4 linked regions of the Drosophila melanogaster genome follow. The protein of the gene in region 3 interacts with the protein of the main gene of each other region in a pairwise test. Each region holds a gene or a part of one and is shown on either strand. Other genes may lie near its edges.

Evidence for each region.
Region 1: the proteins of CG7139 (region 3) and Tob interact in a two-hybrid assay, tested with the Drosophila melanogaster proteins (one large-scale study listed by BioGRID).
Region 2: the proteins of CG7139 (region 3) and Jon99Cii interact in a two-hybrid assay, tested with the Drosophila melanogaster proteins (one large-scale study listed by BioGRID).
Region 4: the proteins of CG7139 (region 3) and Jon99Ciii interact in a two-hybrid assay, tested with the Drosophila melanogaster proteins (one large-scale study listed by BioGRID).

Annotation. Positions count from the first base shown.
Region 1 is NC_004354.4:16,086,277-16,094,736, reverse strand, and holds the start of Tob (transducer of ERBB2), read left to right. Parts: upstream 1-3,241; 5' UTR 3,242-3,590; intron 3,591-5,369; exon of another isoform or gene 5,370-5,476; intron 5,477-7,347; exon of another isoform or gene 7,348-7,526; intron 7,527-8,460. Other genes in the region: CG42354 (uncharacterized protein), read left to right, coding at 1-634.
Region 2 is NT_033777.3:29,923,254-29,929,759, reverse strand, and holds Jon99Cii (jonah 99Cii), read left to right. Parts: upstream 1-5,144; 5' UTR 5,145-5,172; coding exon 5,173-5,970; 3' UTR 5,971-6,006; downstream 6,007-6,506. Other genes in the region: alpha-Man-Ic (alpha-Mannosidase class I c), read left to right, coding at 1-957; CG15522 (uncharacterized protein), read right to left, coding at 1,185-1,579, 1,639-1,765; Jon99Ci (jonah 99Ci), read left to right, coding at 3,586-3,848, 3,906-4,461. UniProt on the Drosophila melanogaster protein: Major function may be to aid in digestion.
Region 3 is NT_037436.4:22,062,939-22,073,523, reverse strand, and holds CG7139 (uncharacterized protein), read left to right. Parts: upstream 1-1,675; 5' UTR 1,676-1,872; intron 1,873-1,968; 5' UTR 1,969-1,997; coding exon 1,998-2,756; intron 2,757-3,361; coding exon 3,362-4,148; intron 4,149-4,328; coding exon 4,329-5,619; intron 5,620-5,676; coding exon 5,677-5,749; 3' UTR 5,750-6,254; downstream 6,255-10,585. Other genes in the region: CG7133 (uncharacterized protein), read left to right, coding at 1-249; CG14561 (uncharacterized protein), read right to left, coding at 6,807-7,391; Oct-TyrR (Octopamine-Tyramine receptor), read right to left, coding at 9,450-9,842, 10,472-10,585.
Region 4 is NT_033777.3:29,916,667-29,923,955, reverse strand, and holds Jon99Ciii (jonah 99Ciii), read right to left. Parts: upstream 1,741-7,289; 5' UTR 1,715-1,740; coding exon 917-1,714; 3' UTR 501-916; downstream 1-500. Other genes in the region: Jon99Cii (jonah 99Cii), read left to right, coding at 1-166; trp (transient receptor potential), read left to right, coding at 3,893-4,041, 4,100-4,337, 4,399-4,541, 4,929-5,130, 5,225-5,401, 5,569-5,803, 5,859-6,157, 6,215-6,582 and 1 more. UniProt on the Drosophila melanogaster protein: Major function may be to aid in digestion.

The sequences.
Region 1 (8,460 bases), on a different chromosome or scaffold from region 3:
GATCGCTGGCATGTGCGTGGAGAACAAGCAGCATTTGGATTCTTTAACAGATGAGATTGGAAATGCCGTCAACGATGTGCTACAGCAGTCTGGAGCCTTTCACAAGTTTGAAAAGGTCACCGAGAAGCTGGGCAATTTTGCCGGTGCCGAGGATACCGAAAACGTTGATCCCAAAGGTTTTCACTCGAAAAGAAATGATGGTCCACAAACCGTAACTTCCCATGGCCAGTCATCGAAGCTGGCGGATGGTTCGAAAGAGCGTTACAGGCCAAAGTATAAGCAAGAGTACAACACGAACGACAGAAAGCAGCGGTATCGGAATGAAGATCACGATCGCCGCAGCCGTACAGATGATCACTCACGGGAGAAGGGTAAAACTAGATGCTACGATCAGTCATCCAATAAACGAGGATGTTACAATAAGAACTCTAAAAAATCCAACGAGGAGCACTCCAACGAGAATAGCAAGGAACGCTATCCTAATAACGATAGCGGTAGTGGCGAGTGGCATGAACGAATGATGCTACAGCGAGAAAACGCTCGCCACAAACATCAGAAGCGGAACAATAAGAACTGGTTCATCAAACGAGGCGAAAGTCGCGAACAGATGCGTTCTGGAGAGACCCAAAGCTAAATGGATTCGCCGCAATCTTATATATAATCTACGCATCAAGACGATGACCTCTATCTTCATCCCGTAGGGAAGAAGGGATCGAAATTTCGCAACAGAGGTCACATATACATATATACTTTAATCCCAAGATATACTTAAGGACAGAGTGTGCTAGTAAAGCGCACACCGAATTTGCGCTGGTTCCTAACTTATACATGTGTGTGTTTGTAATATTTCGACGATGCTTCTACAGAGTGTTTTTTTCTTTTTGTTCAAGACAGCAATTAAACAGGAATCAAGGTTTTTTGAAACACACTGTAGAACCAGAGCTTAATAAGCATCAAGCGATGCAAGTGCTTAATATTTATTTATTTTTACCTACAATACAACAATCGTTTTGGCTGCGTTAAAGCTAGCATTATCTTTATAATCCCGATATCGCAATGTATGTACATATACAGATTCAATAGTCAGTGTTTAATACTAAGTGTATCGCATTTTTAATGGAAATATCGTACATATCGCCCACATTTAACTAAAATGGAATTAATACTAAAAAGCTTATGAGGACTTATGAGGATTAAAATCAAAATTAAATGTAAATCCCACTTAAGTTAAATGTGAGCGATGTCTTTGTATAACATTGGTTCCTCCCATTGAAGGGTGTTATTTCTTCTACAAAGTTCCAGCTCAACCTAAGAGACAGACCCATCCAAGTCCGTCAATAAAGCAAAATCAATTTCCTTTCAACGAGTTTATCAATAATCCTTTTGAAACATTAAATTTCGCTACAAATTATGTATTGATATATACATAAATATATATATTTGTGATACCTATACTAATATTTTTTTTTAGTCTAGAAAAATAAATTATTGTACCATATTAGGTATTCCTGGAAAGCCAATTTAAAAAAAAGAAATCCTATAAAACTGATAAAAATCGAAAATGTAAAGGAAATCCATATTTTTGTATGCATGTTCGTTCAAAATCTAAGCGTATATATTAATAAATGTATAAATGTGTACCCCAAATGTTTTGCGATGAAATAAATAAAAATCCTTCAATTTCATTTAGTACTTCTTTATCTACCAAACATTGAAAAGGTTTTCACCATTCTTGATTTAAATATTTGAAAAAAGGGAAAGTAAGAGTATCACAATATTTCTTACTATTCACGACGAATATACATGCACATACATATGTACATACACAGGTGTGACCTTTCACCTTTTTGTTCGAGCTAGGTCCACTCTAATGTACATATACATATTACCTCTGGGTGTATGTACGCATATGTTACGTGCTCATGCACTTTCATTTCTTGTCCCAGTTTTCGGAAAAGGGAAAAGGGGGGGAGGGGTCCGAGCCAAAGCCCAAAGAGAGCGACTCGTTTTGTCGGCCAGAGTGGTGGAAGAGGAGGAGGAGGGGGGGGGCTGTACTAAAACTGTGCCACGGAAGGATATGCACTCATTGCGCAAGCCCTTCTAGGCTCGATTTTACTACGAGCACAACCAACACACGCCCACACACTCCTCCAATCGTCCAGTCACGCGCAAAATTATTCAGGGCATCCGAGCGATGTAAAAGCAAGGTGAAGTTTAAATACCTTAACAATCGCAAATCCATATTGAGAACTATCAAAATAACTAATATTTACTTAGCTAGGATTTCCACAAAGTAGGCATTATGATTTCACACGATGATCTTATGAGGTTTAGTTACTATTAATATATAACATAACTTTTTCAGAATATCATATTGATATTGCAAATTTAAGTTAGACTATGATTTATAAATAAACTATATTTAAAATGACTAAAATAAAACTACAACAAAGCAAGAAAGTAAAAGTTTTCAAAAGCTTTAAACTGATATTTTAAATATTTCAATCCTAACTTGCTTTTAACTAAAGTATATCATGTTTATGTCGACACTTTTCCCAAACCAATATGGGATGTATATATTTACATCGGTTGCTAAATTGAAGGTAACAAATTTTAGTCATATTACCACCTTTTCGGATATAATTTTGTCCAGGGAAAAGCACCCACACAAAAATATGATGAGTGCAAGCAGTGCTGCCAATTTTTTTCAAGAACAATTTTTTTTTTTGCCAGTCGAATCTCATATACCCTTGCAGTAAATATAAATTTAAAAAACTGGTCTATAAAAAAGTCAAAACAATTTATCAAAACAAAAATTGATTAAAAACAACAAAACTATGATTTCTTGTTTAATATTTTCAATTATATTTCCGTCTGTTTGGTGTTGGGCTCTTGGACAGTTAGAATTACCGGTGCCCGCTTAAATATTTATTTTATTTTAAGCAATCCACCATAGACGGGAAAAAAGCTAAATTGACAACCGTGGGTGCAAGTACCAGACAGAGAGAGAGAGATAGGGAGAGGGAAAGAGAGAGGAAGAGAGAGAGTGGGAAGCCGAACCGAGTTTAGAACATTTAGCTTCGTGAGTGATTCGTGCGTAGTGCCGAATAAGACCAACACGGTGGTGAAGGTGGGGGTGCTGGTGCCGAAGTGTGCGTGTGCACTTGTTTGTTGTTGGTTCACTGAGGCCCGTTCGCGCGTCAATTCAGTCTCAGTTACTAAACCGATTTCAAGAACTACGGACGCTTCGCTCGGCCCTTGCTAAGTGGCGTGTGCTACAATTAAGTAACGGGCAGAGACATTTCACAACAACAACAAAAAATAGGAAAATAGAATACAACAAGAAATACAAAACCAAAAACCATCAAAATCCCAATAAAACCAAACCACATTAAACAAGAAAATAATAAATAGACATCCGAGCACATATACCCACGCAAAAGTAAAACAATAGCATACTAGTTGGTACAACTGGGGTATTTTATACATAACTCGCTAAATCCTTCGTTTAATACAACGACCACCAGGAGGAAACAACCAAAAACTACAGTAAATCGGAAACAAGAAATAACCATCAGCAAACTGCACCGGTAGTTAAAAAAAAAAAACAAATAAATGTTGAATTACAATTTTTTATCTATTTTGTTCGAAAAAAATATTGCAATATATTTGTGTACTTGTGTGTGCTGTGCAAAAATTGAGAAAGCAGCGAACTATCCCCCACTACACATACATCTATCTAGCCCCCACAGAAAATACAATAACAATGATTGTGATATAAAAAAAAAAAGAAACGAAAAAAAAAGAAAACAAAAAAGGAGATGGAGCATCGCTTCTCTCACTTTCGCTCGGCTGTTTTCATACTTCTTGTTTTGTTGTCGTTAGTTATGGCGCTCACTAGAGCACTGGGCTTTTCAGCGCCGAAAGGGACAGCTGTTCTTCAATAAATTTGGGTAGAGAGAGAGCTCGACTCCAGGGAACGAACTATAACTCCCTTTCCTATGCATTCAAACTTTCGTAGCTCAAAAGATGAAAGAGCAAACCGAAGGGTGCACAAGATTTGAATACCCAAAGCTTTTACAGTAGGGTACTTTAGTTGGCTTGAGCTCAGATTATTAAATACTATATATGGATATTGATTTGTTAAGAAGTTTGATGTAAATACAAATCGATCTATCTTAATCTAGCATATCCCAATTTGTTGTCGTAATTCGTGCTTAAAAGCTATAGCTAGCAGCTGATATTTGCGTTAGCAAGCTCCAAATACAGTACGCATTCTTTAACTTGACCATTTCACAATTCTGTTCAATAAATAATTCAGAGTACATGTCGATACCTCATGTTATCAGTGTTATGAAAATTTCATCCCACTATATATAACTTTGACACCTCTGAAAATGTTCGTGCTAGACAGGTTCCACTGTACTTTCTGCACAGTCTTCTATAGTTGTGTTGCACAACAAAAGACGAATTTTATAATAGTACATGTGTGCGATTTCATTTGCGCAAGCTTTTGTTTTTTTTTTATTTATTTATTCATCTGAAACAACATCGATGATTCGATAGCAATTGTTGCAAGTTTGAGAGCATAGTGACCACCGACTGCAGCTGCTTTTGCATTTCTGCCAAAGAACGAATGAAATGAAATAATTTTCGACCAAACCAAAAAACGAACTTGTGCCAGACAAATACTATCGCGTCAGAAGACCATCATTTGGCATTTTGTCGCGGTGTTCGTCGCAAGCTTATTGTATCTACTTGCATGCATACAGGGAAAAAATAGTATTCAAAAAAAAAAAAAAAAAAATTATATTGTGTACTGTACACACTCAAATGTGTATTGTATAGACAGACATTCCGGCATGGCAGTGTATTTGTCATTTCAATTTTCGTGTGTGCTCAGATAAACGAACGAGAATCATGTGCCTAATATTGTTTTTTTTTTTTTTATTTGTTGTTTGCTGTTGTGAGGTAAAATGTCCCAACATCTTACGAACAGCTGACTGTGTTTATGTGTCCTCATATGATTATGTTGCGTTATGCTTCAAATTTTGGCAAGTGAAGTGCATGGGTGAACATAAAAAAAAATAATAATAATACAGCAACAAAATTAAGAGGAAGTGAGAAAATGCCAATAGTTCAGGCACACAAACTCATACGCAGTTTGTCGGTCGGTCAGCTGTTTTGTGTTGTCTTGAGCACCAGGGTCTCTCATTTTTCTATTTTTTTTTTCTTGTTGTTCCCCCACTCTCTATCTCTCTTTTCCTCTCTCTCTCTCTATCTCTCTCTCGCCGTTGAAATTATACCCCTGCGCCAGTCGGGGAAAAATTAGAGCAACGCTTGCTCCACAACGCTCGATAAAACTGCGGGAAAGAAGGCTGCAAAGCAATAACTAAAAATAATTTGTGATGATCTTGTAAATTGAAGTACTGCACAATGTCTACAATCCACAAGTTTCGAATGCACAATATAACGTGTGAGTGTGATTTTACCACTAAGCGCTGCAAGGAAATTCCCCTAAAGCTGGTTATGCAATGTATTGAAAATCGTAGAGCATTTCTCTTTTGTTTGTTGTCGATAAAAATATACCTATCTAGTGCGATACAATTCAGCGCGCAGTAAACATTGAGTCCAGCCAGATCTTTATATATGTACATATGTATGTACATATCCCCACATTGGCTTTATGTAATGGGGCCCGGTAATTACTTCGCTCGGTCACATTTTCGTTTAGATTGGGCACTTCAGACCCTTCAGTTGCAGTGGTAATCAATTCAACGGCATTAATTACACTCTGCTATGCAAAATATGAATGCAAATCGAATGGGGAAAAAAACAAAATATAAAACAAATGTAAAATACGATTGTGAGCACAACATTAGCATAAACCCTACCAAAATTACAATTACATTCAAGAGAAACTGTTAATCTCGAAGTTAATCGAAAATACGCTAATTCCTATGTACCTATGTCTGTATTTAGTTACTTGAAATGGACATCTGTACAAAAACGAACACAGCCTCTCACAACATTTTCCTTGGAGAAACCACCTGTATTAGAACCTAAATAAAAAACAGATGATTATAAAATATACAGCTGTATGAGCGTTTGTGTAACCTCATCTAATTATCTTCAAACAAGCAAGCTGATTTCCTTTAGCAAATAGTCGTACTTTAAATACCCTTTGTTACCTATTTCGCAGACACGCAAATTGAAAGCTTAACTTAATTGATTCCAATTTCGCTAATTTGAAGACAAAAGCGTAGTCATAAACGAATTGTGCTGTGTAAATAAAAACAAAACTACTTACACTCAAAACAAAAGTTTAAGATGCAATTTTGTTATACGTTCTTTTTAATTCCACTAATTAATGCTTCTAACAATTTGTATATATCAATAAATATGCGATGAACTGCAGAAAATATGCAACTAAAAAATGTTTTAAAATAAGATTTAAAGATTTCTGACTGCATAATTTTGAGACCTTCTGCTAGATTTACAAATCCTAGGTACTTCTAAAGGTTTGGTTTTTCAATATAAATCCAATCTCTGTTTTATCCGATTGTTGAACTGCCTTGATTTCTATATGAATGCATTTTGAATGCAAAGTTATGTAAGCAAATACAGTATTCTATGTACTCCCCACTGCGCGTGTGTGTGTTAGCCAAGTGAACTTGAAAAGCCCTATATTCACTTTTGTGTCAGTACATAAGACACACGGAAAAATACGTCTTTAAATGTTCGTAGTATTTGTTGCTGTAGGTGTGTGGGATTTGGAGGCTTCAACGTTTTGATTTTGCGGGAGACACAATAAGTAATTCTATATACATACATATATACAATATATATACATATATGCAAGTATATAGTCAGAAGTCGGAGTTAGCTTATATGGCATTTAAGCTTAACAATACAAAGAGGGGGCCTTTTTGTCATTTTAATCAACCTTTAAAACTGGTGGCCCAGATTTTATTGATTTTATGTTGTGAAGAGCGACCCACACACACACACACACACACATACACTCGCACACACACAGTCCATTGAAGAGTGCATTTTCGCTCAGGGAGAGTGTCAAAAGTGAGAGATAGAGATACCGTTGTGATACCGTTTTCGGTGAGGGTGAGAGAAAGGCCATCAGCTGAGAGAGTTCACTTTCTCTGCCCGTTCCAGTCACAACGAGCAACAGCAACCTGAATATATAAATATATATAGAAATGTTTATATATACAAAATATATGCAAGGATGTGTAAAGAATCCGAGCTTGGGGATGTATTTGTGAAATTATAAGCTAAAATGTCAACGGAACAGCGCCTTCGGCTCTCGGCGGAGTTTGTTTTAGTGATATAGTTCAAAACACCTGCTTTGGGAATTGAATATGCTAAAGAAAAGTGACTAAATATCTCGAAAAACCAAGGAATATCTAAAGTTGTGAAGTACCTAATTTAAATAAATCCGTGTACAAAATAAGGACTCGTTGTTTACCCCTTAAAGTTCAAATTTTGTTGCTTGTCCGCATCAACAGGCAAGTCAATAGAGACGTTGAAAAGTTTTTAAACTTAAGTATTTGAAGAAAGGGTTAATCTTCCCATTTAATAATAAATTGTGTTGTTTGAAAATAAATAAAACAACTAATTGCGCTACATTAGAAGCAGTGATAACTCTAATTAAGAGATGCCTCTAAGTATGCTATGAAATTTAGAACATACTCCTTTGACATAGATGCATCCTTACTCTTGGCAAAATACCACCTAATAAACATTTCTTTTGTTAAAATTCCCAAATGGAAATACCTAAAGTGATTCTAGGTGGTGCAGTCTGCTTGACCTTTAACCTTTGCTCCATCGCATCGCACGACTTGCCTATCGCACACAACCAAAAGCACAAAATTACCATGATCTGTCCTAGAACTAAGACTTAGATCAACCTATATTTATTGGTTTAACAAAGCCATTATCTACCCGTATCACAAATAACCTGCTAAAGGCAAATGTCAAACCTTCGTAACGGTTATGCCTTTCATAGCATGTGGCCTTCAATTGGTTTATAAAATGCAAAAAGCAGGTTATGTACATGCAATAGATACGCATACTAGCACGCATGACCCCGCTGCATCAACACAACTGCACTGGTGCTAAAAAATATGTGTGTGGGCGGGCGCTGAGGTCTCTGTGACGTATGTATGTTATGTTACTGCGCACTGAGACCCACTCACTCTGGAGAAAAGTGAGTGAAAATCAGAGAAAGAAAAGAGAAATGGCTTTCTCTTCTACTAAAATTCAAAATAAAATTATGCTAAGCTGGGGGATCCAATACTATTTCATGTTAAGGACAAAGATTTCAAATGTAACATAACCAAACTCTGCCTTGATTATTTTTAGATTAATATTGAAAGCCTTTTCATATTTGCATATAGAATCCTTGTTGAGGCACCGTCTAAGCAGAAGTTAGCACACAAA
Region 2 (6,506 bases), on a different chromosome or scaffold from region 3:
GAAGGCAGCACCCTCACGAAGTACCTAAGTGATATCTCTCGCACTTCTGAATTTGGCTCTCTGCACCTGGAGTTCTACTATCTCAGTGAAGTCTCTGGATATCCGGTGTACAGGGAGCGAGTGGATGCTATCCGCGAGATATTAGCTAAAACAACCAGGCCCAATGGCCTTTATCCCAATGCCTATTGCACAAAATTTGGTAAGTGGGAAAATTACAACTGCTCCATGCACCGACTTTATGATACCCTGCTAAAGTCATGGATTCAGTCCGGGAGAACTGATACTCAAAATGCTGATACCTTCAAAGAAGCCATGCTAGCTGTGGCTCAAAATCTGGTTGTCATCAATCCCGAGGACGTGACCTACGTGTCCACGTTCAGGAATGGCACTCTTTTCCATCGTATGAGGCACTCCGATTGCTTTGCCGGCGGGCTTTTTGTCCTGGGAGCAGCAGAAACCCAAATGAAGCACTGGGAAAAGTATGCCCATATTGGCATAGGCCTCACAGATACTTGTCACGACAGCTACTGGAGTTCTCCCACTCGGTTGGGTCCGGATACGTTTGCCTTCACGGAGGAAAGCCAGCAGGAAATAGAGCCGCTCCAGAGGAACTATTACAATTTACGGCCGGAAGTCGCGGAAACTTACTTGGTTCTGTGGCGCATAACCCATCATCCACAGTACCGCTTGTGGGGATTGGAGATGGTGCAGGCGATAGAGAAGTACTGCCGAATGCCCTACGGATATACTGGAGTGATGGACGTTAACAACGTTACTTCGGAACCGGATGACGTGCAGGGGTCCTTCTTCTTGGGCTCCACTCTGAAGTATTTGTATCTGCTCTTCTCCGACGACGACGTGGTTTCGCTGGAGCAGTGGGTCTTCAACAGTGCAGGCCATTTCCTGCCCATTAAGGGCGTGAACCCAATGTATCGTCAGCATAACTCATCGAACTAAACATTAGCCAATTACCAAAATAGTTAGCATCTATTTAAAGTTTAACTTTTAATGCAGACATGTATAAAAAACTTGTGTGATCTAATACTTTCACAATGAATTACAAAACCTAATTTCTAATTAGCTGGGAGCACACACATTGAGCACACCTAAAAGCACATACACACATAAATGTCAAATGTCGAACATTGGCCCGCTAAACCATCGCTGGCATCCGCCCTAGAGCTCTAGAGCTGGCTGTTGGCCAGGTGGTTGTCGATGACCCGCTGGATGATCATCAAGCAGTGGCGCTGCCTGGCCACCGTGTTGTCGATCAGCTGTTCCGTGAACTGACTGGCCGCAATGTTCGTGTTGGGCGGTATATCCTGCGTGCAGGATATGTACCTGTTGAAGATCTCCGTGTTCAGCGACGTGGCCAGATACCGCTCGCTCTCGTCCTGCTGCTGCAGCTTGTCCAGCTCCTGGGCGGCCAGCAACAGCTGATCCTTGGCCTTCTGATATGATTGCAGCTCCTGCAGGCTGGCATACTCGGCGCTGCTCAGTTTCACGGACCTGCCGCCGTCTTTCGTCATCTGGCGAATGTGGTACTTGCGCTCGGCCACAAAATTACCGAGCAAGTATCCTGCGAAACCACGACACACAAGAGTGACTCATTAGGCGCTGTCCTGTGAATGCACTCACCTGTTATCAGCATGAAGAAGCCAATCGTTAGCACCAGGGAGGCACAGGTGCGCTTGGAAACGTACTCGCGGAACTCCCGAGAGCTGTTGGCCCGCACCGCCGTCTCGTAGCTGAGTACCTGGTGCATCCTGATGACCTGGTCCCCTTGGGGATTATAATCTGTGGGGCCTGCTTGGCCTAGTCACGTCGAGACACTCGGATGTGTCCTTCAGAACTGGGTGGGAACATGGTGCTATCGGTGGTATCTAGTGCCTAAAGCATGGAATTTGTAATTAAACATTAGAAACTGTATCTGTGAGTTACAGCTGTAAGTTTCTTAATTACTTCGATATGTTCAAGGATTTAAGAGCGCGGAACTTGGAATGATATAACACCTCTTGGTATGTCATGTCAGGATTTAATGTTCTCCTTTCACATTTTTAGTTTGAGCACTAAAACCGCAGTGTCAATGCCCCGAGTTCCTGTTCTGGCGATGCCGCTGATACGGAGGAGCGTGACTTAATCGCCCCACCTTAAAAGGCAATCGCGAAGCCCGTTGTTATGGGCATCGCACACGGCAAACAGCGCGGTCCTTTAAACGCTTCGTCGAACACTTTTCACTCACTCGCTTTATAGGATATCGTCGGCTTGGCTCGACTCTTGTGCTGCCAGGATGGGGTACATATGCATTAAATTAATTAATGACTGCACTTTTGTGTTGCACTGCCCGAAGGAAGTGGGCTACAAGTGTGGGAATGTCCTTTGCGAAGGGAGCGCGCTCAACTTTTAATTGTATTATTTATGCTTTATTTACTCGTCGCGTTCGCTCGGATCCTTGCGCGTTATCCTTGCGAGCGGTCTGAATGCCCGGACGCCCAGTCGGGAACTGACTCACGCTTCGTTGGGGGTCGGCTTTAATAGCTCTCCGTTCTCCGTTTTCCGTTCCGTGTGGTGAGTTTCCTGCCCCGATATGTTGCACATTTCAGCGTGGCACTACGTCGGCGGAAGGACGGTCAAGGGGAAGCTCGGAGAATGCAAACAAAGGCATTCCCAGTAGCTTCCTAATGAGGAATGGGTCCGCCATTTCGCCCACTCCGCCCGAGGCGTTCCTCAGAAACTATATCGGATTTCAAGCCATCGCCTCACTTTGAGTGATACTGCTGCTCCGTAGTTCCGAAAGTGGACCTCCCTTTTGATTGCCATAATCGTATTTTCTTTTCTGCTTCACTATTCCCTGCAATACTTCAAGGATATCACATGACCCTCGATTGCCATTTCTGTTCCTTGGGGTTCTTTGAAGTCCCCCCCATGACACCTTGCTTGCACATTTTCACTTGTTGTGCTGTGACATATATTACTGGGAATTTATGCATAAACTCAACCATTGCATACAATTTGAATATATATTTTGAGGTACGATTATAAACTTTTGCTTTTCTGAACTTGAAGTACATAATCCCATAACGCACTCTATTACTAAGTTAATCCATTGGGTGGCATAAATTAAAATAATTTATTGCACGATAAGCTTGTACACTTCTATATGTGCATCGATAGTGACTTCATTGGTCTATATAAAAGTGTGAGACCAACAGGAGATTTTAGTATACAAAATGAAGGCTTGCGTACCCATATTGGCAGCCCTTTTTGGATCAGGGAGCAGACTGGCATTTACTATTAACCATGGTTAATAATTCTTTATGATTTAATAAAATTAAATGAATTAAATTGCTTGAACTTGTATCCACTCAGAATTGATTGAAGCACTCAAAACACTCTTATTCCCTTTGCTAACACTTCATTCATACTGCCAAACACTCGTCTTGAGTATCTGCTAGTATAAATCAAACTTTTTCGTTGATAAAAGTGCTGCGAGATAAGATTTCGCACTTTGAATTAGCATCGATAGTGATTATGGCTAAGCTATATAGTATTGGGACCACCATGGGAGCCTTTTAGTCTTTCAATATGAGGGGTCTTACACTCTTGTCGCTCGCCTTCCTTGGGGTCTGTAGTGCCCTAACTGTGCCCCATTCGCTGGTCCATCCACGCGATCTGGAGATTCGTCATGGAGGGATTGAGGGTCGTATTACCAACGGAAACCTGGCGTCCGAGGGTCAGGTTCCCTACATCGTGGGTGTGAGCTTGAACAGCAACGGAAACTGGTGGTGGTGCGGCGGATCCATAATCGGACACACTTGGGTGCTCACTGCTGCCCACTGTACCGCTGGGTGAGTTATTTGATTTCACAAATAATTAACGCTCTTTGATAAATCATCGTATTGCAGTGCTGATGAGGCTTCACTGTACTATGGTGCCGTCAACTACAACGAACCTGCCTTCCGCCACACAGTGAGCAGCGAGAACTTCATCAGATATCCCCACTACGTTGGACTCGATCATGATTTGGCCCTGATCAAGACTCCCCATGTGGACTTCTACAGCCTGGTCAACAAAATAGAGCTTCCCAGCCTGGATGACCGATACAACTCTTACGAAAACAATTGGGTTCAGGCCGCCGGATGGGGTGCCATTTACGATGGCAGCAATGTGGTGGAGGATCTGCGAGTGGTGGATCTGAAAGTGATCTCCGTGGCGGAGTGCCAGGCTTACTACGGAACTGATACCGCCTCCGAGAACACCATCTGTGTGGAAACTCCGGACGGAAAGGCCACCTGCCAGGGTGATTCTGGTGGTCCTCTGGTCACAAAGGAGGGTGATAAGCTTATCGGAATCACTTCCTTCGTCTCCGCTTACGGATGCCAGGTTGGAGGACCGGCTGGCTTCACTAGGGTCACCAAGTACCTGGAATGGATAAAGGAGGAGACTGGAATCTATTATTAAAAAAAAACTTTACTAATTTCAAAGCAAAAAGGTGCTTAAACAAGTTTTAAATAAATGAAGAACATATGCTGTTATATTTTGTGTATTATTAATTTCTTGGAAGATAGTGGCATATTCATGTTTAGAGATAAAATTACCAATAATACATAATCAATACATTACATATTACATAATACATACCATTTAATACATTACCTATGTAATATTAACCTATTAGTGTTTTATTTTTTGATAATCTAAAAATCAACTTGTTGAGAACAAAAACTGTACAATGTGCCGTATGAGTAATATTTTATCACACTTTTTTTTGAAATTGGTAGTAAATACTTTCAATAAACATTATTCAGAATTTAAATTTCTTAAAGATCATAAAATACTTTACTCCTCATTTGGGTAATCTGAGTATATAATATATTTTAGGTGAAGTGAATGTCCTTACATGATACTATCATACTGAAGAGTAAGTTGCAAATAAGGCACATGTCATTCCACTTCAAATTTAGGCCATAATTTACAAAAAAAAAAAATCACCTGTAGTGGACTTATCAGTCGACGATGGCTCGCGATGATAACTTGATTAAAATTTACTGCCCTCCCATTTTACATACGTGTGGAAGGAAGGGCTCTTGGTCGAGATAAGACTACGGACCACTTCTGTATATAAAGGCGCTTCGACATCGGAACACCATTGAGTTGCAAGACTTGACCAAGATGAAACTGTTCGTATTCCTGGCCTTGGCCGTGGCCGCAGCTACTGCTGTGCCCGCTCCCGCCCAGAAGCTGACCCCGACGCCCATCAAGGACATTCAGGGTCGCATCACCAACGGCTACCCAGCCTACGAGGGCAAGGTGCCCTACATCGTGGGTCTGCTCTTCAGCGGCAACGGAAACTGGTGGTGCGGTGGCTCGATCATCGGCAACACCTGGGTCCTGACCGCCGCCCACTGCACCAACGGAGCCAGTGGAGTGACCATCAACTACGGAGCCAGCATCCGCACCCAGCCCCAGTACACCCACTGGGTGGGCAGTGGCGACATCATCCAGCACCACCACTACAACAGCGGCAACCTGCACAACGACATCTCCCTGATCCGTACCCCGCACGTCGACTTCTGGAGCCTGGTCAACAAGGTTGAGCTGCCCAGCTACAACGACCGCTACCAGGACTACGCCGGATGGTGGGCCGTGGCCTCCGGATGGGGCGGCACCTACGATGGCAGCCCACTGCCCGACTGGCTCCAGTCCGTCGATGTCCAGATCATTTCCCAAAGTGATTGCAGCCGCACCTGGTCTCTCCACGACAACATGATCTGCATCAACACTGACGGAGGCAAGTCCACCTGCGGAGGCGACTCTGGTGGCCCCCTGGTTACACACGACGGCAACCGCCTGGTCGGAGTGACCTCCTTCGGATCCGCCGCTGGCTGCCAGTCTGGTGCTCCCGCCGTCTTCAGCCGCGTCACCGGATACCTGGACTGGATCCGCGACAACACCGGCATCTCCTACTAAGCAGTTGATGTTCAATAAACGATTATAGCAAAAATGAAAAATTCGACCAAACTATTTATTCAGTTGTAGATTGAGGGGCACATTATTGAGAGCTAAATATTTATATATTCTATTATGTACATTAAATGTACATATATTATAAAACTAAAAGTAATCTCATATTTTCCTTAAATGTTTTTAAAACGAGATTGTTTAACTTATTTTTATATCCTATTTTTATATTCTATCCATATGATAGCTGTTGAACGCTAGTAGCGACTATAGGGTATTCCTATATTTAAAACTGTTTAAGCTAGGAAAGTCCACTTGCAGCTATTTATAATAACATAAATTTATATTATGTTTATGCACTTTAATTATGTTGCAAATATAACAAGTCCAATATTCTACATACACCATTTTCAATCCAGTTTGCTTTTTATATACATAATATACATAATAATTATAAACAATACATAATAATAATACATAATAATAAGACGTATGATCCATATATATATATTTGCATATAGTCCGATGGTTCGTCATTATGTGTT
Region 3 (10,585 bases):
TATCTGCGCTCTCTTCTAAATTGGGCAACTACACCGAAATGGGGGAAGGCAACACCAGCAACCATTGCTGGTTTGGTTCATAACTCCAGACCAGTTTGGTCATCTGCAGCAAAAAATACCCTTGCTGCCTTGATGTATGCATGCTCCAAAATATCTTCGTATTTGCGCGCTTTGGCCGGGCGCTTTATTAGTCCCACCTTTAGACGCCTCCAAAGACTACAATCTTTTAAAGGAAGCTTGAAAAATTGAAAAATTCCATATCTGGTGACTCCGCTAAAAACGCGTAGAAGGCAACTCAGACAGAGCAGCTCCGCCTCAATCTAAAGGTATATCCTGAAACATGTTTTGCTTTTTTTAATCAAGAAGCATTAAAGAAATAGGGTTAAAATAGAATCGAATACGATATGGCATACACACAAAAAAAAATTCAAATAAATAAAATTTTTATACCTTCGGACTAAAATATTGTTTTCATACTCTGCATCGGATTTGGTTATGTATATACAGCTGTGTTCAATGAAATAGCAGTGCGAAATATGAAATACAGATATTTTTCCATGTCCCTTTTCGGTATCGACTATTTATTCCACTTATTTTTGAATATGTGCCCTGTCCAGTCAGGAACTTTGAAAGCTAGAATGTTAAGAATAATTATAGCGATTATAGAGACATAGACGCAGCGCAAGTTTGTTGACCCATGTTAACACGCCCAATAAACGCCCACAAGCCGCCCAAAACTGTCCAAATTGTTAAGATATTTTTTTCATTTTTTATTTGTCTATTATAATTATATTTTATTATATTATATTTTATTATTTTTATATTATATATATATACATATATATATATTATACATATTATTATATATATTATATTATTATATACATTATATTTTAATTTTTTCGTTTTATTGTGTGTCTTGTCAATTTCCATCTGTATCAAAAACACTTTTGCCACGTCCCTCTTTACACCAGCAAAACGCCCAAAACATTCCCACTTTTAAACAATTTTAAAAAATGTTCTTAAAATTAATGAAATTTGCACACTACTAACTGAGTAAATGGTATCTCAATAAAATATGATGGCAAATGTAGAAACGAAAGACGTATTTATTTTCTTTAAACAACAATATGTCCTTGGTGCGAAATAATATACAGATAACACGATTTATTTATCGATGTTTTTCCATACAAAGATAACACACATTTCCTCAATATCGATCGATATTCCAGAAAAATTATGAAATTCGCACACTACTAACTGAGTATCTTATAGTCGGGTAACTCGACTATAGCATTCTCCCTTCTCTTCTTCTGTTCACAATTCCATTTCTATGTTATCGGAAGAAAAACTATATTTTGCTGCGTAAGCGAAACTAGAATTCGGGTGTTTAGTACCCAATTAACAGCTCTCAAAGTTCCCGAGATATTGGATTTCGTACGGACGGACGTGATAACGACGTTATAATTTCATGTTATTTTATAACATTTATCATAATCATATTAAGAATCTTATTTATGTGCTTAACATAATGTTTTCATAGTATTAAAAAAAAAAATCCAAAAACTTAGCGATTTTATTCCGAAGCAATAGCTTGGCTTGAAAAAAGCTGGCCGCCAGCACTGCTGCTTATCGATGACGCGTGACCATAGCCTCCTCCATCGATAGCCTCCGCACAGACGTGGTTTTCCCAACTTGCAATGCAGCGAATTAACGGATGTAATGCGACGCATAGCTTCCCGATTTCTGGAAACAAGCAAACGAAGTTGCAGCCCGCAGGTTGATCCTTGCATGACAACCGATTGAATGAGAGAGATTGAGACATCAACGCGCAGTTACGACATCGGGGGATTACAGTCTGGTCAGATATTGGTGAGTCCGAGATTCAGATGCGAATTGGGTGATGGGGTGTCTGTGGTTACTGCGCATTACGTTGGTCGATCCCCCCTAAACGATCTGCTTTCACAGGGCAAGCTAGCAAAAGGAAAACAAACGCCATGTCGACAGAGCGAAGCTCGCATTCAGCTGAACCAGCGGATTTGGCGCTTTTGTTGGACCGCATCAACATCAACAACAACAATAATAATAATAAGAATAATAATAATAATAATAACAACAACAACAACAACAATAATAATAATGACAATAACAATTGCGGTCGCAGCAAGAGCGGTGGAACTCACAGGAAATATGCAACTGCTGAAGCCCCAAGCTCCATTAGAATGTGCCCCGCCAGCAATCTGAACAGCAACCAAAGCAACAAACAATTTAACTCGATTTGCCAGCGGGCGCAGGCGGGCCATAAGCTGATGATCATAATGCGCGGCCCTTCAGGCAGCGGTAAGAGTACACTGGCAGAGTCTCTGCTGCGCCAGGCGCATCTACTCGATCGACACCAGGTGCGCGACTTTGTCCTGAGCTCAGACGACTACTTCAAGACGCGCCGCGGCTATGTCTTCAACCCCACTCTGCTGCCAGCTGCCCACGAGTGGAACCAGCAGCGAGTGCGCGATAAGGCCGCCTCCGGCTGGAGCCCCATCATCGTGGATAACACCAATACAATGGTCTGGGAGATGCAGCCATATGTCCAGTTCGCCGTGCGCCACGGTTACGTAATTGAGCTTCTCGAGCCCAATACTAGTTGGTGCAAGTCTGCCAGCAAACTGGCCCAGAAAAACGTCCACAACGTCCCACGGGAGAATATTCAGCGCATGCTAGAGCGATTCGAGCGGACGACTGCGGGAGAGCTCATTCAGGTAAGAAGGCACTTTAAATCGTCTATATACATACATATGTATATAAAGATAGAGATTTATTGTTAACTGCAATCTCATTGTGAGTCAGCCAAAAATGTGTAATTGTATACCCGTTACGCGAGTGTAAAACGTTTAACTAAGCTCGATAAAAAATCTTTAAGAGGTATATATTTATTCTTAATCATTATCACTGACCAATTCAATTTTGCTTCTTTGCATTTCATTATTTTTCCGGCGAACTTCCTTTGAATTGCGAAAAACATTCAGACCACCTGCAGAAACATAGTAGAGGCCTTTTTTGTTGGCTACTTAATTTTTTAGGGCATACCATGGTCAGTCAGAAAGTCGCTGGCAATCTGAGAAACAGTCGCTTTTTTGTAGCTGAGAGAAGACGGGTATCGAATATCCGAGGATCGGAATGTGGCAGTCTAGCCACATACACATACAATTTGAGGCAACTAGCTCGTTTTCATTTTTTATTGGTAAATTTTTGGTATATTACGTTCTTGGTTGTATTTTATTTTCTACCCCGAAGCTTATTAAGTAATGGCACTTACTATAGTTTGTATCTTTCACATCCTCTACCGGAATATTTTATGCGACAGTTAATGAAGGAGACAAAGTATTCTGTGGAGCTGCCGCAACTACGCAATCACCCGCCCCTTCCTGCCGTGCCTATCATCACGAGCTTTGAAGAGAGCAAGCTGCTGGAAGCCCCAGTCCCAGCGCCAGCGGAAAATGCCTTTAAGCTGAATGCTAATGCCCAAACGTGGGTGCCCTACGAGCACGGAGCGCCTTCATACTGGTCGCAAACAGTGAACTCAGTAGACACAGGCGACGCGACAGTTCCGGAAATTCCGGATGCTTTGGGTGCCGCAGCTCCCGTAAAGAGCGAATTGTCTATTATTGATCTGCTCCGCGAAGAGAACCAAATAAAGGTGGTGCCGTCGAAAGCGGAGTCTAGCGGGGCAAAGCCTCTTGAGATGCACAGCCTAGACTGCCCAAATGAACCGAAAGGGTTTGCACACCTGCGCCAGATGTATCCCAACAAACAGCTGGCCGGCCTCTGGGATCTGTTTGTAAAGTGCCAGGCCGACGTGGATTGGGCCGTTGATATTCTATTAAAGGAGGACGAGCTCAACGCGGCCACTGGTTCGGATCAAATCGGATTTGAAGAAACTATCGATAGCGAGGAGGCGGCGCAGTTTCAATGCGACTGCGACAAGGCGGTTGAAGCCCAGGAATCTCCGATTTCAACTCCCATCTGCGCCTCACCAACTTTACCAGTATCGAAGACCGAATCCAAGCCGCAACGTCAACCGCGCAACAAACGAGCATCGGCCCCCACCAACAAAGAGTTGCAACTGAAAATCCAGAATTGCTTTGTGTTAGGTAAGATATTGTTCTAATAGGAGTCAATTAAAAATAAACTTATTATTTATATTGCGTTAACACTCACGGCACTAATGAATTTAATGTATTTCCATTATATTATGTTAGAGATTCGAGTTCGATATCTGATGCTAACTAATATTAAATAACTAATAATAACTAATGATTATTGATTTTTAGGCGACGAACAATACTCGGAGCACACCCGTAAAATTCGCGATATTCGCAATGGAATCCTGGATCAACCTACAGTGCCTAAGCTACTGGAAGCACCCGAGGAACCAGAGCTTGAAGAGCAGGAGGAGGAGGAGGACCCTGAAGAAAATACTCTGCTGGAAATTGATTTGGGCGGCACTTTAATTGAGCAGCTGCGCGCTCAGTTCCACACGGAGGACGAGTTGTTGCCGCCGGAACAGGAGCTTCCCACCGCAACAAAAATATTTATGCCGCGTCAGCTAGCCAAGCAGCTTTACATGTTATGGATGGAAGCTGTGTTTAACCAGCTAGAGGAGATACGCCAGCAGACAATGCGCGATGACGAGCAGTTCGCCCGCCTGCTCAAGCATCCAGGTTACGCCGATTGCAGCGAGTCTCCGAGCAACGTGGCTGAGCTTTTGGATATGGAGTTGGCCTGGAGCATATACAATAGCGAGCAGCTGGCCGCCAAGAAGGCAGCCGAGTTGACCGCTCGCAAACAAACGCCCACCGATATAGCTACCCACCTAACCAAGATGAAGCTGTGCGAGACGTTCCCGGACGTTCCTACCGACACTGTGCTTGAGGTCTTTGCCGCAACCGGCAGCAATTACGTTCAAACAGTCGAGGTCTTGGACAGCAACGTTAAGAGTATGCTGAGCAAAGCGGAACTCTATGATAAGGCCCTTCGCGAGGGCGAAAAGCTTAGTGAGCAAATGGCGCTGGAAGAGCGGCGGCAGCAGCAGCAACAAAAGCAACATAACTCCTCCGGCCAAGGCCAGCGCTCCAGCTCCAGTTCGTACGCCTCTGGCCGGTCGCCCCAACTGCAAGAGGAGGTCAAGTGCGCCGCTCTTCGCGACTTTGAAGAGACGCGAAACATGGCCGCCCATCACTCCCAACTTAAAGCAGAGTGCTATCTAAAGGCCAAACAGGCGGTACAGCGCGGCAATAGTAGCGTGGCGTTATACTACTCGGAGATAGCCAAGTTACACAAGCAGAAGATCGACGTATTCAACCAGAGGGCGGCCAATTGCATAATGGAGGTGCATCGGCACACCCAGAACAACCCGGACCTGCTAGACCTGCATTACCTACACACGGTAGAGGCGATCAGTTGCCTGGACTTGTTCCTTGACCGCCACATAACTGTGCTGCGCAACACCACCCGCGTGTACAAGCACGTATTCATTATCACGGGCCGTGGTCTTCACAGCGCAAACGGAGTGTCCACCATTAAGAACAGGGTGAAGGCCAGGCTGGGCGAACGCCGTTTGCGGTTAGTAAGGGGCATATTTCGTTAAAAGTCGTCTAATTATTCACCAACCTATTTCAGATGGCAAGAAGTTAATCCAGGGTTGCTGCGCGTCAAGGTGTTTTCAGCATCGCGTCATTCAAAGAACTTCTGATTGGATGCGAATCGCACGACAGGACTTGCTGGACAAAATGCGTTTCACACTGCCATATAGAAAAAAAGCAAGTGTTATTTAACTTTTGTAATTGCCTACAAAATTGTAAAGTTAAGTAATCATTTTCCCCTGTCCTGGTCGCTGTTTTACTTTCGAATGTGTTCTATAACCTATGAAACATTCCCGATTTTATTACTCTATATTACTTTCAATGCTCGTCCCAATTATTTTTAAGTTTGAATAATGCTTCCAGCGTAGAGTTTGTGTACGACGCGAATTCGCAATGCGACTCAGGAAAGTAGTGATTTAGTATCTTCCAATAATATACCTAATCACAGAATTACTTATTTTTATACTAGTTTACTCAATGTACTACCTAGGTACAATAGGATTAGTGTAAAAATAGTAGTCCTAAGGTACACGAGGTCCAAAAATTACCATTACATTTCAGATTAATAAGCAAATATTGACATTTTCTTTATAAATAAATCGAAACGTGAGAAGGATATTATTCAGACAAGTTTTTAAACGAACATCGTAGTACGATATTTTATTTTTCAAACTGTTACATCGAACATTCTACAATATGTTGTAAACATACTGGCTTCGAAAATCAATTTGTACTACAAATTACGTAGTAGCAATGTATGCCTAGATCCGTCAATTAGCCATCGAACTTTCCAGTGTTTACAATAGTGGTTGGTTTAGTTCTAGGTACCGCTGATCAGTCTGTTCTATGAGCAATATAAACCTTCCTTCTGCCTACCTGGACCATCTGCCCGGCAGGGAAGAGCATAACCTTGGTTTAATGTTTGAAACATGGAAAGACGACAATCTTTATTTACCACTACAAAATCTTTTAGCCTGACATCGGAAAACGCGTGACACGAAGCTTAGGTAAACTGAAGGATCAGCCGAGGATACACATCTGGGTGTACACCTGCTGACCGCTGGGTGTGAACAATACATTCAGGTAAATGGTAACTTATTCTAGAACATCGATGGCAGTCTGAGCGAGGGCTCCATGGCTTTGGTTGGGAAGGCTGGACTGCGGTCACTAGGTGGGGTCCTTGAGTGGCGAGGGTAAATGCGGGTCAGAGACTCGCGCTCCCGGCGACTGGTTCTCCTTGCCGCCGTGCAGCCGGTTGGCCATCAGCTCGATGAGATTTGCACGTCCGCGCTTGGGCGTAAATCGGGAATTGCCCGAGCTGGAAGCTTTATCGCGGGGCGGGGTGCTCAGGAAAACGCCCTCGAAGATCGTCTCCAAGCTGTTGGAGTCGTCGGCGTCATTGGGCGGGCTGATCTGGGCGTTTATCTCGTGTAGGGCAACGTACTGAGGATCGTTCTGGGGTTCCTCTTCCGGAAGGAGATGCTGCCTCTGCGGCTGCTTGGGCGTCTCGATGTCCGACAGATCGAGATCGTCGATGGGCGACGGGGTGCGTCCATGCGGCGAGAAGGCGCGGATCTCGAAGGCCGGCAGCTCGTCGCAGCCGCCATCCGGTATTTGCTCCTCGCGCTCGAATGCCAGCGAGAGGTCACTCTCGCTCTCCATATCCACGGAGGACATCGAGCACTGCAGGCGGAAGGAGCCGTTCAGCTGGTCTCCCTCCTCACACGTATTCACCGCTTCCGAGGTCTCCATTGGTCTGGCTGGTCTTTCAAGTGCGTCGCTGGCTTATATTCATTACAGGGATGCGCTCTGCGAAGGGATGCGGTCTGCTTGTCTGTGAACGCGTCTCGCTTCGCGGAAATCCGCGCTCTCAGGTAACCAATGTTTAGGATCTTGCCCTGTGCAGCAGACAATTTTAAATTTTAAATCCCAACAATTTACAAGCCGTCACTTTGCTAGTGGTGAGACAATTGAGCTACCTGAAACAAACCGGCGTTCCCTGCGAATGGCTATCGAACGCAGCCGATAGTTGCGGGTAAACAGCTTGTAACCAAAGACCCCTTAGAATAATTCTAGTGTTATTCTAGTGTCTTTGTTGTAACGATATGCCATGCCGCGTACTTTGCAGTCAGGCGAAGAGATAATGTAAATATGAAAAATTATTGTACTTTAAAGTGCACTGATGCACTGATTCATTTTATGTATTACAGGTTCTTCCAACCGTGTCAATAAAATTTAAAAACCAACTTATTCGTTTTCTGTTTGTTTTCATTTGGGCCAAAGGGAAACTATTCTGCTAAAATAATCAAACGAATTTAATTATTTTCTGTACTGGCAGCAATGAGAATGTCCAATAGCTCGAAACCGTTTAGAGGAAGGAAGTTTTGAAAATTATTTAGTTAAAAATTATAAGCACAAGAAATACATTGTAACGAAGGATATATAATGTAAGTTATCAGAAGGTGTCGCTAAAACTACGGGTCTTGCTAGGTAATCATTTTTTCAGCTAGATCTTTTAAGAGGGAAAAAGTCTTTCGTTTTGAAACCTAATTAACTTACCCTTAAGAAGGTAGACCAATCTAGATAAATTCAAACGCTTTTTCTTATAACTTTAATTCGAATGTGTCTTTTATTTGTTTCATTTACGCTTTGCTCGCTCTTTCTCGTTAAACAATATAATTAGTGAAACTATCGTACATCGTCGTTAAAAGACATAAATTGTGATATACATTTACGATATAGCATGTACTTGAGTTAACACATCCATTGAATTACGTCCTTTCGCCAACTCTGTTGCATTTCGTAACGTGCAGTTAAACATTTATCTACCTTAAGTAAGTTTCGATGTGCTAGCTTTAAGCTGCCCACTCAACACAATAGTTGCTATGCCATAAAAACAATTAATCGTTAAATTATTTAACAAATAGTCCAAAGCGTATTTGAAAGTATACATTAGGTATAGTGGTTTATCGTTTACCTACAATTAAAGTACATATAAATACAAATCGTTAAAGTAATGCCTAGAAAACGTTTCTCTCTTGGAAGTTATTATTTAGCTTAGTAGTTGCTTACATATCTTGAGCGCAGATTTAATTTAACAAACACCTTTTTGGTTATCCATACGCTTAGGGTGAAACACGAAAGTTGCCACAATTCTTTGTGCCTAAACATTTAATTTAATTGTATTAAATTCAATTTGATGCTATTCTCGTTTGGGATGCCACTTAGCTGGAGTATAATGCATGTATAATTCTTTACCATGTAATTTTTATGATTTTCCTAGTAGCTGTGCCTTGAGGCAACATCCTCACTTTAATCGCAGCACAACCCATTTTAGTATGAGTATTGAACAATCTACGCTTAATGTGGTGGTACATCTCAATCGATTCCAAACAACAATATATTAAAAAAATGTTCAAAACTAAATGAAAGTATTTTAATTACGGCTAGAAATAATAACTTAGTTTGAAACTATATATACACTCGAGTCTCATCTTTGACTTTCCAATGTGGGGGCTTTTCACTTTGCCGAAACGTTAAACATTAAAAATTATATTCAATCTATTACACTTTACCAAATTCATCCACTTCTTCAAAATGAGTTCACCAAGAACGCATTTGAAAGTATATATGTGTTAGAGAAGTTGAACTCGGAAGTTCATCAACTGGGGGTCCAACTGTACATAGACTGAGATCTCCGCTGAACGCATACACGACCATTTAAGTTTGGCACAAACTTTGAGTTACGCTCTCCCGCTCGAACCATGATTGGCCCGGTTTATATCTTCCACCCGCCCCCGCCAGCCAGCCTCAATTCAGGCCCAGAAGTCGCTTGAAGGCCCGGCGGTAGTCCAGGTTGAAGATGGTGTAGATGACCGGATTCAGGCCCGAGTTGATGTAGCCCAGCCAGGTGATGAAGTTCTTGAACTTGTTCGTGGGGCAGCAGGTCTGGCAGAAGGGCAGAATGACGTACATGAGGAAGAAGGGCAGCCAGCAGATGACGAACACGCCCATGATGATGCCCAGGGTGCGAGCCGCTCGCCGCTCCTTGGAAAGCGAGATCTTCTGTTTCTCCTCAATGAACTGGTTAACCCCACTAGTCTTCTTCTGCAACGGAGTGACAGAAACGGCAGCGACTCCCGTCGAGGATTGCGGCGGGGTCAGCTTTAGGGACGTTTGCTCGTCCGCCTGAGTCACGCAGACCTGGAATCGAGGTGAGGAAAAGTTTAATTAATCAAGTGGCATGGAAAAAGCCATTTCTCCCATACAACTTATACAACTTATATCGCTTGTTCCATGTGGCTCTCTAAATAAAAGAGCACTTTAGATTTTTAATTTTTTTGTCGATTTCCCTGAATATTAGATACCCTAGCGTGGCAAATAGATAGAAATTTACAAGGCTTATAAAAATATGAAAAAATATCAAGACGTTTTTCAAAAGTTTGGGCGGGGCAGTTTTGTGCGGTTTGTGGGCGTGGCAACATGAGTCAAAGTTGCGCTGCGTCTTTGTCTGAGCCTTCTAGTTTTTATATTTCCTGAGATCTCAACGTTCATACGGACAATCGGACAGACGGACATACCTAGATCGACTCGGCTTTTGATCCTGATCAAGAATTTATATACTTTATATAGTCGGCCTGTTAAATACTTTTCAACGAATCTAGTATACCCTTATACTCGATAAGTAACGGGTATAATATGTATATGTATTTATTATCTAGACTTATTAGCAGTTGTAAACACAAGACCCTTTATTACAAATATTTTTATTAAAATAAATGTGTAAAACAATTATGGGCTTGCAATATCTTCACGATTACGAAGAGTCTTACCTGTATGCAACCTTTGGGATCGCTCCCGCTCTCCGTGCTGATCTCGGCGTCCGACTTTCCGCCTCCAGAGTGGCCTCCGCCGGGCTGGCAGCTACCGCCATCCCCGCCGGCGGG
Region 4 (7,289 bases), on a different chromosome or scaffold from region 3:
CGGAGGCGACTCTGGTGGCCCCCTGGTTACACACGACGGCAACCGCCTGGTCGGAGTGACCTCCTTCGGATCCGCCGCTGGCTGCCAGTCTGGTGCTCCCGCCGTCTTCAGCCGCGTCACCGGATACCTGGACTGGATCCGCGACAACACCGGCATCTCCTACTAAGCAGTTGATGTTCAATAAACGATTATAGCAAAAATGAAAAATTCGACCAAACTATTTATTCAGTTGTAGATTGAGGGGCACATTATTGAGAGCTAAATATTTATATATTCTATTATGTACATTAAATGTACATATATTATAAAACTAAAAGTAATCTCATATTTTCCTTAAATGTTTTTAAAACGAGATTGTTTAACTTATTTTTATATCCTATTTTTATATTCTATCCATATGATAGCTGTTGAACGCTAGTAGCGACTATAGGGTATTCCTATATTTAAAACTGTTTAAGCTAGGAAAGTCCACTTGCAGCTATTTATAATAACATAAATTTATATTATGTTTATGCACTTTAATTATGTTGCAAATATAACAAGTCCAATATTCTACATACACCATTTTCAATCCAGTTTGCTTTTTATATACATAATATACATAATAATTATAAACAATACATAATAATAATACATAATAATAAGACGTATGATCCATATATATATATTTGCATATAGTCCGATGGTTCGTCATTATGTGTTCCTAAAGCTTGATTTTTTCCGATACATAAATCGGAAATCGGAATAAGTTTATTTCCGTTTGCAGTTTAATATATTTCCCTTCACTTGGAAATATTTTATTGATTTCATTACTTAAGCAAGAAGACATCTGAATCCCATCCCAAAAACAGAACTTGAGTTGCTTGCTATAATCGTTTATTGAAGAAACCCCTCAGAATTAAGGAACATCAACTGCTTAGTAGGAGATGCCGGTGTTGTCGCGGATCCAGTCCAGGTATCCGGTGACGCGGCTGAAGACGGCGGGAGCACCAGACTGGCAGCCAGCGGCGGATCCGAAGGAAGTCACTCCGACCAGGCGGTTGCCGTCGTGTGTAACCAGGGGGCCACCAGAGTCGCCTCCGCAGGTGGACTTGCCTCCGTCAGTGTTGATGCAGATCATGTTGTCGTGGAGAGACCAGGTGCGGCTGCAATCACTTTGGGAAATGATCTGGACATCGACGGACTGGAGCCAGTCGGGCAGTGGGCTGCCATCGTAGGTGCCGCCCCATCCGGAGGCCACGGCCCACCATCCGGCGTAGTCCTGGTAGCGGTCGTTGTAGCTGGGCAGCTCAACCTTGTTGACCAGGCTCCAGAAGTCGACGTGCGGGGTACGGATCAGGGAGATGTCGTTGTGCAGGTTGCCGCTGTTGTAGTGGTGGTGCTGGATGATGTCGCCACTGCCCACCCAGTGGGTGTACTGGGGCTGGGTGCGGATGCTGGCTCCGTAGTTGATGGTCACTCCACTGGCTCCGTTGGTGCAGTGAGCGGCGGTCAGGACCCAGGTGTTGCCGATGATCGAGCCACCGCACCACCAGTTTCCGTTGCCGCTGAAGAGCAGACCCACGATGTAAGGCACCTTGCCCTCGTAGGCTGGGTAGCCGTTGGTGATGCGACCCTGAATGTCCTTGATGGGCGTCGGGGTCAGCTTCTGGGCGGGAGCGGGCACAGCAGTAGCTGCGGCCACGGCCAAGGCCAGGAATACGAACAGTTTCATCTTGGTCAAGTCTTGCAACTCAATGGTGTTCCGATGTCGAAGCGCCTTTATATACAGAAGAAGTCCCTTGTCTTATCTTGACCAAGTGTCAAACTACCCATATGTTGAGCTGGAGGGCAGTAAATTAATGTCATCCAGATTACATAGGAGCAAAAAGACAAAAAATAAACAACGCAGAGGCTTGTACAGCAATATAAAAAACGTAAACTTATCAGTGTTCAATGATTTGCGAATCAGTTAAAAATACAATAAATTTAATGTTAAATACTACTCATCGGATGCAATTCATAAAATCATTTTCTACGTGGGTACATTCAATTTGTTTAAACACATAAGTATCTTATCGGTGCCATAAAGCAAATCAGCATTGATACTATAGATTTTTACGATCATGTTGAGGGCTTAGAGATATAATTTTAATACAGATGGCCATAAAATGAATTTTATCCCGCAATCTTGACGGTTTCCGGTGGGGAGACAGTGAAAGTGCAACCTGCTACGCAAACCCAGGGAAAATGAGCTCTTTCGCTTTTCTCGTGGAGAACTGAGCACATAACTCACAAGGGTCCTTAAAAGCTAAATAAGGCAGGAGTTTTGTTGGAGGCCAATGAATCATTGAGTGCAACCCAGTTGTACACTGCAGAAAATCATGTATAAACCCAACATAGCATTTAGTTAATGGGAACTTATAAGAAGAATGTGCATTTAGCCACATTTGTGTAATGAGGAGTACCTTTATATAATTACGAGAATGCCATCCAGGTATTTTCAGCTATGGCCTCTAATTAATTCGCACTTAATGAGTTCCCCTCGACAGCTGTGACTTTAATTTTGAAATTCCTTGGGCCACCATCACTTCCTTCCTCTTCTCTTGGAAGCCATGCGAGTGGAGTGTGGAGTGCATTGGCCCCGCTAAAAACCCCGTACGACTTGAACACGTACGATGCCATTCCGCCCGGAGCTCCATTGAACCCCACCTTTCGAACACACACATTCATCTCAAAGGGCTGCTCCGTGAAAGTGGGCTTGTTCCTTTTCCTTTTCTCCGCCTTTAGCCAGGAGCTGGCATTTAGTTCCAAGTGCATTGACACACAAAAGCCCTGCGAGCGCCCTGAAGTAAGCAACATTCAACATTCAAGGCTCAAGACGCTCGGCTGCCAAGGACGAGTTGGGTCTTAGATGTACACCACCCCACCTCCCCCTCCCACTTCCCATGCAGATTAATCAATATTCATCAATCACAAAGTCAGAATCACTGACCCAGTGCCCAAAAGGCATTCGAAATCATTTCAATTCGGTAGATACTCGACTGTAAACTGCAGGTGTGGTGTGTTTTCCGGCTCTGTTGGTTAGCCAAAAGCTTAAAAGCTTGCATTTTCTCCTATTTTTAAGGGCTTTTCTCGGTGAATAGTTCTAGGATATGAACCCAAGTCCATGAATCCCTATTTACTCGCAAATTAACACCCTCATGCTACTTTTTGAATATTAAGTAGCTTTGAATTTCGGCTTGAATAGGTGTCAAAAAGTATGCAAAGTGCGTATTTTTTTTTTGGGCATTGATCTATATTGCTGGGTACAAAATATTAGACACCTATTTAATTTCATATCTCAACTGTATGCATCATTTCATCGAAATATAAGCAGATAATATTGTTCCATTTAGCACGTTTTGTTTTTCACTTACATATAAACCCACTGGGCAGTATTGATTTGGATTTTCAGGCATAAAAGTGGTGCGATTCCGTTGCTGGGGCTTCGAAAATCGAAAGTCGCTCATCACGTGCAATGCAACCACAAATGGACGAAAGATTCCTGAACTGAAATCGCTAAAATCGGTTGCTGCCTCCAAATGCAGCCCCACAATTACCGAAGTGCGGTCAAATGGGCCCATTGACTCGGGGTTCGCCCACACATTGACCGAGTTTTAGCCACATTGGGCACTAATGTAATTAGTGGAATATAGCGACCCGTGGCTGCCACTTTTCAGCAGTGCAACGCGGCTAATTGGAGGCGGAACATCGCCACGATGGAACACTAAAGGATACAGTGCGCGAAAGGATTACGCCAAGGCTCCCCGAGGAGCAGGGATAAATGCCCATAGTGTTTGTGAGATGTGAAGTGACCGAGTGATCCGATCCTGATAATCGCGTTCGCATAGACCAGTAAATCAGTGCAGATATGGGCAGCAATACGGAATCCGATGCCGAGAAGGCGTTGGGGTCTCGCCTGGATTACGACCTGATGATGGCCGAGGAGTACATCCTCAGCGATGTGGAGAAGAATTTCATATTGTCCTGCGAGCGGGGTGACTTGCCAGGTGTCAAGAAGTGAGGCTTCCTCCCTATGGCTTCGAGTAACTCGGCTAATATGATTTCGTCCTTGAAGGATCCTCGAGGAGTACCAGGGCACGGACAAGTTCAACATTAACTGCACGGATCCCATGAACCGCTCCGCCCTCATTTCGGCCATCGAGAACGAGAACTTCGACCTGATGGTGATCCTGCTGGAGCATAACATCGAGGTGGGCGACGCCCTGTTGCACGCCATCTCGGAGGAGTATGTGGAGGCGGTGGAGGAGCTGCTGCAGTGGGAGGAGACCAACCACAAGGAGGGCCAGCCATACGTAGGTCACATCCTGCCGCAGAATATGCCACAACTCTTACTCTTTTCCCCTCCTTTGGCAGAGCTGGGAGGCGGTGGACCGCTCCAAGTCCACCTTCACCGTGGACATCACGCCCCTTATCCTGGCCGCCCACCGAAATAACTACGAGATACTCAAAATCCTCCTGGATCGCGGGGCCACGCTGCCCATGCCGCACGACGTCAAGTGAGTGGGGTGGTGTAGGGATGCAGTTGCTCGGTGATATGGCTATGTAGTGAGCTTCCTCGTCCTTCGAGCGGCACGTTCCATTGTTTGTCCAATTGGCAACACACTTATGTAGCACATCGCTGGGTGCCTCTAATTTTAGATAATTGCGGGCAAATTAGGGTGAAATATTAATACAGGGTGTAATGTTGTGTGTGGGAAGAGCAGGTCCTTGAATGTTCTTAAATTGGGTCAATGGACTCAAGCCTTTAACAGCGTCATAAATGTCCTTGCTAGGAGAGAAGGTCCTTTGTACTCCTTTCAGATTGATTTAAATGTATTTATTATTATAGAACTCTTGGGTTCCGTACACTTTGTATATCATCGCTTAATCTCAATTGTTTCTAGGTGCGGCTGCGATGAGTGTGTGACCTCCCAGATGACGGACTCCCTGCGCCACTCGCAGTCGAGGATCAACGCATACCGCGCCCTGTCCGCCAGCTCGCTGATAGCGCTCAGCTCCCGGGACCCTGTACTGACCGCCTTCCAATTGTCCTGGGAACTCAAGCGCCTGCAGGCGATGGAATCGGAGTTTCGTGCCGAATACACGGTACGGTAGTAGTGTGCAATGTAAGCGGTGGCCAGTGTGCCACTAGAGTCTATGCGAATGCGAATGCGAGCCTTTGTTTGTGTTTGCCCAACAGGAGATGCGTCAGATGGTGCAGGACTTCGGGACCTCGCTCCTGGATCACGCACGCACATCCATGGAACTCGAGGTGATGCTCAACTTCAACCACGAGCCGTCCCACGACATCTGGTGCCTTGGCCAGCGGCAAACCCTGGAACGACTGAAGCTGGCCATTCGCTATAAGCAAAAAACGGTGGGTTCGGACTAATCCGTGCACATTAAGGAACTGTGAAGGTTACAAGCTTGTGGCTAGATACCCATGCCTAATCCACCACAGACCAACTGGGATTTAATAGCTTTATATATAGAAACGGATCTTAGTACCCTGCTTGAATTTATAAACATTACTCCCCCTTCTAGTTTGTGGCACATCCAAATGTCCAACAATTGTTGGCCGCCATTTGGTACGACGGACTGCCGGGCTTCCGGCGCAAGCAGGCCTCCCAGCAGCTGATGGATGTCGTGAAGCTGGGATGCAGCTTCCCCATCTACAGCTTGAAGTACATCCTGGCCCCGGATTCCGAGGGTGCCAAGTTCATGCGCAAGCCCTTTGTCAAGTTCATCACGCACTCCTGCTCCTACATGTTCTTCCTGAGTGGGTAAAGTGGGTGCTTAACACTTCATCCATCTAAATATGCGCCCATTCACAGTGCTCCTGGGTGCTGCCTCCCTGAGGGTGGTGCAAATCACCTTTGAACTCCTCGCATTTCCCTGGATGCTGACCATGCTGGAGGATTGGCGCAAACACGAGAGAGGTTCACTACCGGGTCCCATTGAACTGGCAATCATTACCTACATAATGGCTCTAATATTTGAGGAACTGAAATCTTTATATTCGGACGGCTTGTTTGAGTACATCATGGATCTTTGGAACATAGTGGACTACATATCGAACATGTTCTATGTGACGTGGATTCTTTGTAGGGCCACCGCTTGGGTAATCGTCCATGTGAGTCCATATGAATCTAATGAATAAATTGGAGTTACTGAAACGAATTGATTTCAGCGTGATCTCTGGTTCCGGGGCATAGATCCTTACTTCCCAAGGGAACACTGGCATCCGTTTGATCCAATGCTTCTATCAGAGGGCGCCTTTGCTGCCGGAATGGTCTTCTCCTATCTAAAGCTCGTCCACATCTTCTCCATTAATCCCCACCTGGGACCCTTGCAAGTTTCACTGGGTCGCATGATAATCGACATCATCAAGTTCTTCTTCATCTACACACTGGTGTTGTTTGCCTTCGGATGTGGTCTCAACCAGTTGCTATGGTACTACGCTGAGCTGGAGAAGAACAAGTGCTATCACCTGCATCCCGATGTGGCTGACTTTGATGACCAGGAGAAGGCTTGTACCATCTGGCGAAGATTTTCCAAGTATATTACATTCATTTCTATGTACTTTATCATATTGGCATCCCATTTCAATTTACTTTAGCTTATTCGAAACATCACAATCGCTCTTTTGGGCCTCTTTTGGCCTGGTGGACCTGGTCTCCTTCGATCTGGCGGGAATCAAGAGCTTCACCCGCTTCTGGGCACTGCTAATGTTCGGCTCCTATTCGGTTATCAACATCATTGTGCTTCTCAACATGCTGATTGCCATGATGTCCAACTCCTACCAAATCATCTCGGAGCGAGCCGACACTGAGTGGAAGTTCGCCCGATCCCAGCTGTGGATGAGCTACTTCGAGGATGGCGGCACCATTCCACCGCCCTTCAACCTCTGTCCCAACATGAAGATGTTGAGGAAGACCCTGGGCCGAAAGCGACCGTCACGAACCAAGAGCTTCATGGTAAGTTACACTCAGAGAAATTCAATATTTCAGTTTAAGTATTATACAAATCCACACATATATATTAAATTCAGTGTACTCTACTTTTAAATGATATTTCTTATCATATTACTTTTAAATGTAAGTAACATTTCGAAAGTTCGATTTTTTCAAGTTGAATCACCTCACAGTGAGAGGCGGCTCACAATCAATACAAATCTTAAGCGAAATCATTTTCAATCAAGCCCATGCAGAGCTATCTGTGCGTCAAATTGACGTCTAATACATCCTTTCTGTGTCCTTCCACCC